Linked DNA regions of Macaca mulatta. The protein of the gene in region 3 interacts with the protein of the main gene of each other region in a biochemical or structural test. Links are inferred from orthologs where the notes say so. Each region holds a gene or a part of one and is shown on either strand. Other genes may lie near its edges. The genes, in order: PTPN1, BDNF and NTRK2.

Evidence for each region.
Region 1: the proteins of NTRK2 (region 3) and PTPN1 form a complex in vitro, tested with the Homo sapiens proteins (2 studies listed by BioGRID, with this or other methods). The link is inferred for Macaca mulatta from reciprocal best matches to the Homo sapiens genes NTRK2 and PTPN1.
Region 2: the proteins of NTRK2 (region 3) and BDNF form a complex in vitro, tested with the Homo sapiens proteins (3 studies listed by BioGRID). The link is inferred for Macaca mulatta from reciprocal best matches to the Homo sapiens genes NTRK2 and BDNF.

Annotation. Positions count from the first base shown.
Region 1 is NC_133415.1:103,436,721-103,440,294, reverse strand, and holds part of PTPN1 (tyrosine-protein phosphatase non-receptor type 1), read right to left. Parts: intron 3,332-3,574; coding exon 3,108-3,331; intron 1,768-3,107; coding exon 1,572-1,767; intron 362-1,571; coding exon 338-361; 3' UTR 1-337. UniProt on the Homo sapiens protein: Tyrosine-protein phosphatase which acts as a regulator of endoplasmic reticulum unfolded protein response. Mediates dephosphorylation of EIF2AK3/PERK; inactivating the protein kinase activity of EIF2AK3/PERK.
Region 2 is NC_133419.1:37,582,188-37,586,237, reverse strand, and holds the start of BDNF (neurotrophic factor BDNF precursor form), read right to left. Parts: upstream 2,812-4,050; 5' UTR 2,186-2,811; coding exon 2,036-2,185; intron 1-2,035. UniProt on the Homo sapiens protein: Important signaling molecule that activates signaling cascades downstream of NTRK2. During development, promotes the survival and differentiation of selected neuronal populations of the peripheral and central nervous systems.
Region 3 is NC_133420.1:115,605,272-115,609,536, reverse strand, and holds the start of NTRK2 (BDNF/NT-3 growth factors receptor precursor), read right to left. Parts: upstream 2,855-4,265; 5' UTR 2,622-2,854; intron 2,107-2,621; 5' UTR 1,985-2,106; intron 1,719-1,984; 5' UTR 1,510-1,718; intron 1,022-1,509; 5' UTR 646-1,021; coding exon 434-645; intron 1-433. UniProt on the Homo sapiens protein: Receptor tyrosine kinase involved in the development and the maturation of the central and the peripheral nervous systems through regulation of neuron survival, proliferation, migration, differentiation, and synapse formation and plasticity.

The DNA.
Region 1 (3,574 bases), on a different chromosome or scaffold from region 3:
TGCCTGGGATGCTCCAGGAGGGAGCCCTGGGTGGGGCGAGCCTCCAGACAGGTGCAGGCCCCCTCCCTCTGCGCCGCCAGCATGGTACTCTTTCACTCTCCTCAAAAAATGGCTTGTGGATTTGGTACTCAAAGTGGAAGGGGCAAAAAGTAAAAGGATGAGGGGTGAGACACACATCCGGGGAAGATGGGTTTTAGTGCAGAACCAACGTCCGTCCGGGGCCCGGCTCTCTACGCGGTCCGGCGGCCCTTACCTACCGCGGCATGCCTGCTAGTCGGGCGTGGGCTCTGCGGGCAGAGGCGGACAGTGGGTGGAGGTGGAGTGGAGGAGGGTCAGGCTATGTGTTGCTGTTGAACAGGAACTGGAATGAAACCAAACAGTTCAGATGAGCCCAGACCCGCACCCGCAGAGCTGTCGCCTCATGCACGACCCCGGCCACACCCCCCGGCAACTTCAACCTCCGAGGGAGCAAAGGGGGTTTTGGTTTTATTTTTTACAGTAGCCCCTTCTCCCCAAAAATCACCCCCAAGGAAAAAATTGTTTGCATTTTGCAAAACCATCTGATGTACTCAGATGGCCACCTGAAAAGAGGTAAAATATTTAAAACGATGAAAAAGTCTCAGGAGGTCATTTCCATGGCCAGAGCTCTGAGGCTAGTCCTCTCTTCCCCTTACTTAACAGCAACACACGTCTAACGTGTGGATTTCTGCTGAAATGGCACTTCTCCCAATGAGGTGGAGCCCACTCCTCTGAATTAACAGAGGGCTGACATGCTGAGGGCCACCCTGTGGTGACCTCTGACCCCCAGGGAGAGGCCTCGAGGACACTCTTTTATGGGAATGGGGTGATGAGGGCTGGTACATGAGCAAGATGGCTGTCACAGGAGGGAGCAATGGAGAAAGGACAACGGACACCCTGAGCAGAAGCAGAGGCAGGTTCTGTTTCTCTAGACGGCCTTGTGTTGCTGTTCTTACAGTGGGAAAGCTCAAAGACCCTGTCCTGGCTCAGTGTGCACACAGCTGAGGGGGGCTTGAGCGCAAGAGCGTCCTAACCCTCTTCTCCAAGGGAGTTTACATTCGTAAAAGTTTGGGATTCCTTCCCTGGGAAATCAAATATAAATTATATAGCTAATTACATCACCTAAGGGTACGAGAAAGTTTCATTAAGTGCCTAGTTTGTTTTTTTTCCAGAAATAACAAAAAGCTGCTTTTTATAAAGGTTAAAAACAACAATGTGTTGTAATTCTATTTTTTTCCAAAAACAAAGGAATAAAAAAAAGAGAGAGAGAGAGAGACAGACGTATTTGGCATTTTCTCTACTTACTCCTGAATAGGTTAAGGCCCTGAGATTAGACTCTTATATTCTTGGGACCAGAGGGCTCCTTAAAACCCCAGTGCATCGATCCTTAATTCTCGTTAGCCCTTCCACAGTTCCAGACTTTAAAAACCTTTGATCTGTTTCTTCTGAGACTGGCTCAGATGCGCCACAGAACTGAATCCTACCATCGGGCTAGCGGCCAGTGCTCTCTGCACACGAGCATCTCGCCAGCGCGTCTGTCAGTGGAAACATACCCTGTAGCAGAGGTACGCGCCGGCCGTGAGGACCGTAGCCACACACATGTTGACCAGGAAGGGCTTCCAGTGACTCAGTGCATGGTCCTCCTCCTTCTTAGGCGGTGACGGCTCCCCTTTGGCTAGGGAGGCAGCCTGGGCACCTCGAAGACTTCCCCCCACGACCCGACTTCTAACTTCAGTGTCTTGACTCATGCTGAGGAATCAGAGGGGCAGAGATGGTTTACTCACTTTGGAGAAAGTGAATGGCAAGGATGCTGCTATTGTGGCAGGAATTCTGGGAAAAAACAAGCCACGTGTAGACAGAGTAGGGTGATGTTAACCTTCCAGCGAGCCAGCCCCTCTTCTTGGCGGGAGGGCCAGGCCAGGGCCCACAACAGCCTGAAGTCCACTTGTCACCCCCTCCCCCAGGTACTTCAGACAGCACCCACAGCCAGGGTAGGGTTCACAAGGTGCCTGGGCGATTGGGCACTGTGAGGATTTATCTGGCTGGAGGATCCACTGGTGTACACACTATTGTATGACTTGCCTTCTCATTTACTGCAATTGCAATGTCTGGCCACATCAGTACACCCAGATCTCATTCTTTAAGAGCTATAGAATATCCCAACACCGGGAGAGAATGTAATTGATCAGGTCCCTGGTTATATCATTGGCCTGTCTCTAATTTTTCACTACTACAAGCAATGCGACAACAAACACAACTACCTATACACATCTTTACATGCTTATTTTGAGAGTCGCTGCAGGGTAAATTTCTCCATGTATACAACTGCTGGATCAAGTATGCACACGTCTTAAAACTTCCCTCCGGAAAGCAGGTACCAAGGGCACGGCCGGCAGTCATCTCCAGCTGGAACTAACACCTGCTCGTTCTGCAAGCTTTCTGTGCACGGCCACCTACTGCAAGCAGCCTTTCCTGACCACCTCAGTGGACACCTCTATCACATCACTGTCCATGGGCTCCCACCAAAATATGCTTTGGGTCTGCCTTTTTCCCAACAAGATGATCTAGAACACAGACCAGGGGACATGTTCTAGTTAACTCAGTACACCACACATATCAATAGGTACTCAATAATGGTTGTTAACCTGCAAGGAAGTAAAATGGGATTTAATCAAGACAACATAAAAAAGGTTACAGTCCCCAAAGGACCACTGTGGGGACTGAGGGCACATGGTCAAGCCTGGACATCACATTTCAGGACTGTCCGGAAGCCTGGGGGAGGGTGCTATCATCAGGGGGCAGAAAAATGCTACTCGGTGGCACCGAGCCCCTCATTCCAACAAGCACCACAAGGTGGCACTAGAAGCCCACAGAAGTGGCTCATGTCCTGCGGCCACCCTGTGCCCAATACCGGGCCTCCCGCAGTCAGGAGTGGAGGGGCTGTGGTCCACACGCCCTGTTCCCCAAGGATGCGGAAGCACTGCTTGCCAACAGGAGGCTGCGTCCACAGGGTTTCAGTACCAGTGTGTGTTTCTAGAACAGAAGGTCATCTCCCCTCAACCCAACAAGCCGGGACCCAATCATATTACCTTTCCATGCTGTAGGGTGCGGCATTTAAGGGGCTTCCTGTTTCTTCCTTGATGGGGCAGTCTTTATCCTCCTGGGTCTCATCCTTCACCCACTGGTGATTTGGGAAGAACTCCCTGCATTTCCCATTGTGTGGCTCCAGGATTCGTTTGGGTGGCCGGGGAGGTGGGGGGACGTGCTCGGGTGGGGGCTCCAGGTCCTCGTGGGAAAGCTCCTTCCACTGATCCTTGAAAGAGCAGCAAGAGGAAGTCCTATTAGTGTTCGCGTCGGCTGGCTTGTCAGGAAGTCCCCTTGCGTGAGCAGAGGTGGCGGCTTGGCGAGGGGCTCTCGGCCTCTCGGGGCTGCAGCCATGTACTTGGAAGATGAAATCTTTTGAAAATAAAGTCTCTTCTTCCTACCGATGCTCTCTGTGAGCACTTCAAAGGCACAAAGTGCAACATGGTGAACATTTTGACAACTTTCTAGCTAT
Region 2 (4,050 bases), on a different chromosome or scaffold from region 3:
ATGGTGACCAACATGTTTTAAATTCCAGTAAAGGTTATGGTTACATTTCAACAAGTGTCTCTTTCCTTTCTCTTACCTCTCCTGCTCACCCAGAGGTAAATTTACCAAAAAACAAAAATAAAAAAATAAAAAGTCACAAGCAAGGCATTTGCAAAAATCAGAAAACACGAACAGGTGTTTAGTGATGGTTTTTAAAAGGTGCTGTTCCCAGGGTCAAAACTTTGTGGTGTAATTTCAACATGCTATGTTACCTATTATGTGTAATGTCTTGAATCGCTACATGTCATAACATCAGAAATCTCCAACCTAAAAATTATGTTGCATGAGGTAAGCATTGAAGGCACACACGTTCAGACAAATTAAATCTGTAATTATGGCTCAATAAATTAAAATGTAAAGACATATCAAATTGTAAGACCGAAATGGCTTTTGACCTTACAACAAACTCATATAAAAATAGATTTTTCGATAATAATAAAGGGGAGAGAGAGATTTTTCAGGATATTGAGCCAGTAGGGAGGGGTCTCATTTAATAGCATATCGCCTTTTATATGCAGTTAGAAAATCAACGTTCCCAATTGCATACTACTTTGCTTTAAAAGATAACTGTACTAGGAGGATTAATAAACACTCAGAAATATGCTTTTCTTCGCTTCTGGCCAAGAACATTCCTGCGTGCTTGTTGGAAAACGTTCTTTGGTTGCTACTGACATTGAGAGTAAGTGTAAGATACCTAGAGGGCCCTAAAATAAGATCCAAGAAGCCCTAACACACCACCAATCGAGGCTTATCAGAGCTCCCCCAGCGCGAGGAAAACTTGCATAGAAGCCAAACAAGAACAAGGAGTCAAAATCCACCGACGACGAGTCGCATGCCCTACCGAGCTGGAGTCAGCAGCACCATTCAACAAGTCCCTCCTACCAGCTCTCTAAGGGATCCCGCAAAACCTTCCCTTACCACTTCCCCACCCCCAGCCTCCCGCCCCCAGGAGCTGCTCTTGGCAGCATGGCCGGCAGAGGGCACCCTCTACCTTCCCTAGCTTCCTTCTCCGGGTCCCCTCCTCCTCCTTGCCTCCCCTCCACCTCGGTCCCTCATCCCTGCTCCACCCCCAACACAAAAACACTGCATCCTCCAGTTCACCCTCGCAGCCCCAAGGCTTCTTCCTTAGGGCTGCCCCTAGTCTGTAATCTCCCCTTCTTCTTGCCCGTCGGGCACAGAGCCCCCAATCCTCAGCTATTTCTTTCCAGGCGCAACTCACTCTCACCCATTCTTCCCGGCTCTGCATCCCCAGAGACTAACCCGAGTAAGGAATCCCCCACCTATATCCCACCTAGTCCCCGAAAGTCAAAACTCTAACTTCCTTGGAGGGCGCTTCAGAAGAGGGGCGCAGGCTGGGTAGAGATGTGGGTTCGGCCCGCCCGGGAGTCTCGCAGACCCTTTCAGTTCCGAGCGGTAGTAATTCCGCCTCCCAAGTTTTCTAAGCTACATTGGCTTCGGACTTGTAAATCCACTTCAGTCTCAACTCCTGGGGAGCAGGTAGCCGTGTGCAGTCCCGGGGACGACGCGGACTCAAGGCGCAAGCTTCCCTCCCACTCCCCCCACAGGTCGGCGCGGGGACCACCCAACCCCTGGAAGGATTCCTAGCCTAGCCTCAGCACCCTTCCCTCAGTCAGGGCCCCCGACAGCTCTGGCCCCCTAAGTCTCTCTCGACTCCTCCTGGGGTGGGGGAGGACTGCGAGGGATCCCCGGGTCGCCGTCTTGGCTCCCATCACGCAGCTCTGGGTCTCCTCCAGGCCTTCTGTCCTCTACTTCGTGCCTTCCCCGGGTCCCTTTTTCCCTGGTAGTGCCGGGTGACCTTCTGGGTTGTGGGATGGGGGAGAAAACTCCCCAGGAGCAACTCCAAATCCTCCCTTCTACCGGCGGGGAGGAAAGAAGGAGACTGGCCTCGTCCCACAACTTTGGGGGGTCCCCCAGTCAACTTTCTCCTGCGGACCGGCAGCTCCCGTACCAAGCCCCATGCCCGGCGCTTGCCTACCTCGGGGTCCACACAAAGCTCACGGGTCCCCGGCGGCGGAGTCACATCGTGGTTCCGATTCTGGCTCCAGCGCCCAGCCCGGGTCCTCGTCGCGGTGCTGCTCCCCGCCGGCCCCACAGCAGCGGTGGCAGCTGCATTCAAGTGTCTCATTAAAGCCCCCCGAGCAGGAGATGGGAGGCGCACCGGGCCGGTTCCTCCGTCCGGCCCGGGAGCCCGAGGCGCTACGGGGTGCGCGGGACAGCGAGCCGGCGGGTGCGCCCGGGCGCGGCGGCGGCAGCGGCTGGGACCCGGAGCTCCAGGCTGCGCCTTGCGCCCGGGTCAGACATTATTTAGCTCTTCGGTTGAGCTTCGATTGGTCAAACGGCGCCACCCCCCCGCCCCCCTCCCCCCGCTCGCCCGCGCTACCGATACCCGTTCGGGGCGGCTGCTTAAAGGGAACGCCGCGCCTTTTTCTCGCCCGGGGGACCGAGGGGCGCCTGGGACTCCCCGCTCCCCCAGGGCCTGTCCTCACGTCCTCCCCCAGGTCCCCGCGACATCATCCTGCGAGTCCTGCGCCCTCCCGGGGCGCCTTGGGCAGGACGCCCGCAGCTTCGAGGGGTGTTCCAGCCCCAGCCCCAGCCCCGGGGAACCCCGCGTCCCGCGCCCTCTGCAGAAACCCCGGCTGTGCGCGCTGGGGCGTGAGGGAGCGAGTGAGGATCGCACGCCCTGAGGTCTTGCTCCCCTAGCTTTCAACTCTCCCCTTCCTCCCCATCCCAGCACCTAAGTTCTCTGGGAATGGGCGTGCTTTTCCCGGGCCACAGACACACCTTCCCGCACCTTCCCGCACTACGGAGCTTGCGAACGCGAGCACACAATGAAATCGCACAGAGCATGGGGGCTATTGGTTTACTCCGCTGCCTTAAACACGCCGGCTTAAACAGAGTTCGCGCACTGACCTCTCTAGAGTTTGCCTAATAGGAATTCAATCAAGATAACAACAGCATTTTTTATTGATGAACGCCCCCAGATAACGTTACACCAAGTTACTTGTTCCAGCCAGGAAGCCCAGGCAATGACAGACCTCGCTAAAGCCACACGCTTTCTAGCAGACCAAACAGAAAAACGGAAAGAGAAAGAAAGAAAACAAACCCACCTTTTCAGACACTACTTGTCAAAGTAACCATCAAGGCAGCTGCTCTGGGAAAGACTTCGGCCCCAAAACTCCCAGACTCTATTATTTTTTCACGTTCTCTTTGCTTAAAGGGGGGAGGGGGCGCGAGTCTTTAGTGCCCGGTATGTACTCCTTCTGTTCTGCAGCAAAGAAGTTAAATTATTGATAGTGGAAATTGCATGGCGGAGGTAATACTCGCACCCCATCAGCTAGAAGCTCCATTTGATCTCGGCAGAGGCAGGAAGATTTCATGCTAGCTCGCCGGGGGGAGCGGCAGCGAGAGCAGCCCTCTCCGCGGTGAATGGGAAAGTGGGTGGGAGTCCACGAGAGGGCTCCACGGTGCCTTGACGTGCGCTGTCATATGATACCTCCGCTGCCTCGAAATAGACACTCTAGTGCACGAATTACCAGAATCAAAATTCAGCGCATTTAAAATGATACATCTTTTATTAGAAGAGTTCCGTTCCAGGGCATTGCATGCTTTTGCAGATGTTTTCACTTCCAGCCCCAGCAAACACACATATAAGCTAACCCTTTTAATAACGAACCAGGGCAGCAAAGATAAATAAAAAATCTTCTGCTTTAACCAGAGTGGGGGTAGGGGATTCGAGGGTGGGGGCAGAACTGGCTCAGTTAATCCTCCCCCGCCCTCCACCCCCACCACTGCCCGCAGCAAAAGAGCAAATAGTCTTTCGGGTTCTCATTTGCCTGTAGCCAAGACCCATGGAGAGAACTTATATGGCTAGGGTCCAGAGGACATTTTCAGTTATCCGTTTGATGAACTCTGTCAACCGTCTACCTGTGTTTCTGCTTTAAGGCTAAATTTTATTCTCATTAGTTCAACCAATTTGTGCAGACCTTAAAA
Region 3 (4,265 bases):
AGATTCGGGAAAGTTAATTATTTTAACCTCTTTTCTAGTGAATATTAATGGAACTTCTAACACAACATACACACAGCACTTTATGAAACAAAAATGCCCAAAACTAAGTTAGTGCATGCGGAAAGCCTAAAGCACACCCAGCAGAGCTTTGAAATATAAAAAGCATAGTGAGTTCCTTCCCACGAGGAATACATATATAATCGGCATATGTATATCTATATTTAAAACTTATCCTAAAGTGTCACACTTCTCCTGCACTAGCAGTCCCAAGCCAGTGAAACAGACAGGTAACTGACAGATGACCCTGCCTTGCATCTCTTGTCTCTGACTTCTCCCCACTCTTGAGACAGCATTCACTTTCAGGACCTACCCATCTGGCCAGCCCGGGCCCTAGGGGCAAGGAGAAAAAAGAGGAAAAGCTCCAGGAACTCACATTTCGGTGATGTTCTCAGGATCTACACTGTTAGGTTCCAACCTTGGAAATGCCACGATGCCAGGAGAAGGGTCGCTGCACCAGATCCGAGAGGCACTGCATTTGCAGGACGTGGGACAAGCGAGAGCGGCCCTCCAGAAACCCACAACCAGCCAGCAGAAGCCCCAGAGCCGCGCCATGGCGGGTCCATGCCACCTTATCCAGGACGACATCCCTAGCAGCCAGTGCCAGCCCGAGTGAGTGTCCCCACGCTGCACCGGCCGGTTTCCCCGACCTGTGCGGGGAGGCCTTCCCCGCGCTTGCGGCTCTCTTGACTCCTCGGTGCTTGCTTGCTGCGGGCGCGCGGAGTCCAGCGTATCACAGGCTGAGCTGGTCCGGAGCGGAGCGTATTCCGGCAGGCGGCAGGGTTCACAGTGGCCCCGGCATCGTGAACCGCTTTACAGGGGGGTGCTACCGCCGCTCGGAGCTCCGCCGCGGCCGTTGCTGCATGGCCCGGGGCGCCGGGCACCGACCGGCGGCGCTCCCGGGACTCTCTGGGGTGCAGGCTCCTTATTAGACGCGAATGGGGGTCCGGTATGCACCTCGAGGCTGAGGACAAACAGATACGCGTAAGACTGAGTGTAGGACCCCCAACACCACTAATTGGAGCACTCTCCCTCTGCGCTCGCGTCATCCCCACCCCGATCCCAGCCGGGAGACTGTGGATGGATGAGTGCCCAGCTCCAGCCCAGGAATCAACTTGCCCCGCGATGGCACTGACGCCGCTGGAGCCACCAGTGTGCCCACTCTCTCTTCGAGCCTGAGGCCAAGGGAGGGGAGGTAGGGAAAGGGTCCCCGAGACAAGATTCCATGGTACAGGCCGGGCGAAGGACCCTTTAAAGGGGAATGCGGAGACTGCCGGCAGCTTTGGCTCCGCGACGGGGGCCCCGAATGATGCTGCAGAATCCGCCACAGCCGCTGGGTGCCGGTGGCGCGGGCAGGTGGCGCGGCACGTCCCACCTGGGGAGTAGCCGAGGCCGCCCCAGGGGGAGACAGGGAGGGCCGAGGCGACCGAGGGCACTGTCTGCGCTGCTCACCCGGGCTCCGGCGCCTCACGCCCGCCGGCGGCGCCTGGGTCCAGGATCCTGCTGCCGCCGGGGACTGAGCGCGTAGAGCGCGAGCGAAGCAGCCAGCGAGGCTCCTGCTCCAACCCAATTCCGGGAGCCGCCGCCGCCGCCTCTGCTACTGCTGGCGAAGTGACGTGAGGGCTGACGCAGAGCAGGGGCAGAAACTCCAGAAAATTAGTCTGAAATCCAAAAACACACACGCGCTCATACACACACAAACCCATAACACCCTCCAGACAAAAGCACCAGGGAGGGGAGGGGAATCTGGGGGCGAGCAGGGAGGAGGGAGGCATCAGTGCCACTGGCCAGAAGCAGACAGCAGCAGCATGTGGGAGTGCACACACGCGCGCACACACGCACGCACACACGCACACATCCTGGCCGTGTAGACACGCGCGCGCGTGCCTCTGTGTGTGTGTGTGTGTGTGAATTTACATCCAGGTACCTCTGAGATGAACCGTTCCTCCGTTTGACGCCTCCCGGTCCCTAATTCACACCACAGTCTCTTCTACAATCGCGGTAGAGGCTGGCTCGCTTTTTGAAATGGAAACCGTGCTTGGTTCAGCTCTGAAAAATGCGCTGATTCTTATTATAGGAATCCTCCCTCCCTTCTCCCTCCCCGCGTTCTCCTTTCCCACCCTGCCTAAAAGGGAGGGCAAGCTATCCTAAAAATAAATAAATGTTGTAAACACCAAAACGTGTTCTGCATTGGTAACCAAGGATCACCGCCCCCATTCCGGGCCACCTATTTGGGGATCGGTGGTTTTGGAGGGGCTTCCTGTTGGTGCTTTTGCAGAGGGAAGGGAGTCTCCAAACACAATTCTAGCTCTCTAAGTGGGTCTTCTTCCTGCCGTTTTCTGCCATCACACGCCCGGGAAATAGAGACATGTGAGGGGAAGGGAGCGCGCCTGATGCGTATTCTAAATGCTCGGTGGCCACCCTGGCCTGTCCGATGTGTGGCGCCGCGTCATTTTCTCTCATCCTTTAACCTGTCGGGATGTAGCCATTCCCATATCGTAGCTTCACTCCCCGCGATGCCCACCCCATGCAGGGCATCCCAAGCCCTTGCTCCCCTGCCGTACCTTGCGCGTGTTCATGTGTGCGCGGGTGTGCGCGAACGCGTGCCCTGCGCCCGCGCTGCCCGGAGCACGATATGCATCCAGCTACGAAGAAGCCAGGCGCGGGCAGAGCCTCGGGGTCTCACTAGGGACAAATTAGGCGATCCGGGAGGGTCGGGTGACAAACCGTAATTGTTCTGCGGGCGCAGTTAAATGACGGCTGCGGGGCATTCGCAAGCCTTGTCTGAGAATCCGTCTTCCCTTTTGCGGCTCGGAATCTGTTTTTCCGCAGTCATTTAAAAGCGAACTGGGAAAATGCACCGCAGTGCCTGACACTTCCGAGGGCTCTGGTGCCCCCGCGCGGGGAGAGAGCGCCCGGCACGCTCCGGAGCACCAGCCCACCGCCACGGTCGCGGCGGGCACAGCGCTGGGGGCGCGCTCTGGCGCCAGATGCGCAACCAGCGGCGCCCGACGCCTGCGCGTCCCTGCCCGGCCAGTGAGCGGCTTGCCTGGCCTCGCCGAAGTCCGGCCCGGGGAAAAAGGCGGCCAATCCTCCGCTCCAGAGAGAGCAATGGGTTGGAGTCTCGTTCAAAATATAGTAACAGTCACTGATCTACCCGCAGAGGCTGGGGATGGGAAGGATCGAGAAACCGAACCTTAGAGTGAATGCTCGGATCTAGGCCAAGCATTAAATATTACGAAGGGAACGTAAAACATCTAGTGGGGCTTTTTTGTACAGATCCTGGGCGCTGAGTGTTACCGCGGGAATTCTTGGACAGCACCCAAAAATCTTGCTGCAGGTCCGGAAGGCAAGGCTAGCAGGTCTGTCTCACCACTGTCGCTCGGCTGTAACACACTTTGAGTGGTGAACGGCCAGGCTGAAGTTTACTCCTCAGCAGGGCCTCTCTCGATTTTCTGCTAGGTGAGGACGTGCCAAGGAAGAGAAGCAAGGGCAAAAATGACCTGGTCTCAGACGCACGTAAAACTCCGCCTGTCTTGTCAGTGCCCCTTAAGTGGAGAAGCCCCTGAGGAACACTTGGGGAAGGAAGGAGTGTGTGTGTGCATAATCACCCACATCTCTCTCACACTCCCATACTCTCAGCCCATTTTCCTAAGAAAGGGCCCATTTGCGCCCTAGTGGCTGCAGCATGTCTCAATGCGGTATGGAGAATAGGCAGTTTTACGGTGGTTTGTACACCACAAGATTCCAATTATGTTGGAATATCTGTAGAATTTCTATTAGAGTAAATATATGCTACTATTATAGTTGAATTCTAAATATATTCCACTGACTGTCTCCCACTTAAAATTAGGATTTGCGGTCCTACTTCTAATCACCCTACTTCTGCTCTACTATTTCAACCATAGCAGTTTGTCTTTTGGACAGATCATTTACTTATCATATATATATTTTAAATTTCTCCCAGTAGAATGTACACTCCATGAAGGCAGGGATTTTTGTCTATTTTGTTCATTGATATATCTCAAGGACATAGTAGGTGTTAAAATATATGTGTATTTTTAATGAATAAATAAAATAAAGTTGAGATCTTACTTTCTTAACCTCTAATTCTGCAAGAACCTGGATTATTCCCCCAGACACGCTCCTTCTCACCTTCAAAATTTCAAATCTTCCTTGTGTTCCGAGTGCTCATAGCACTGCTTAAA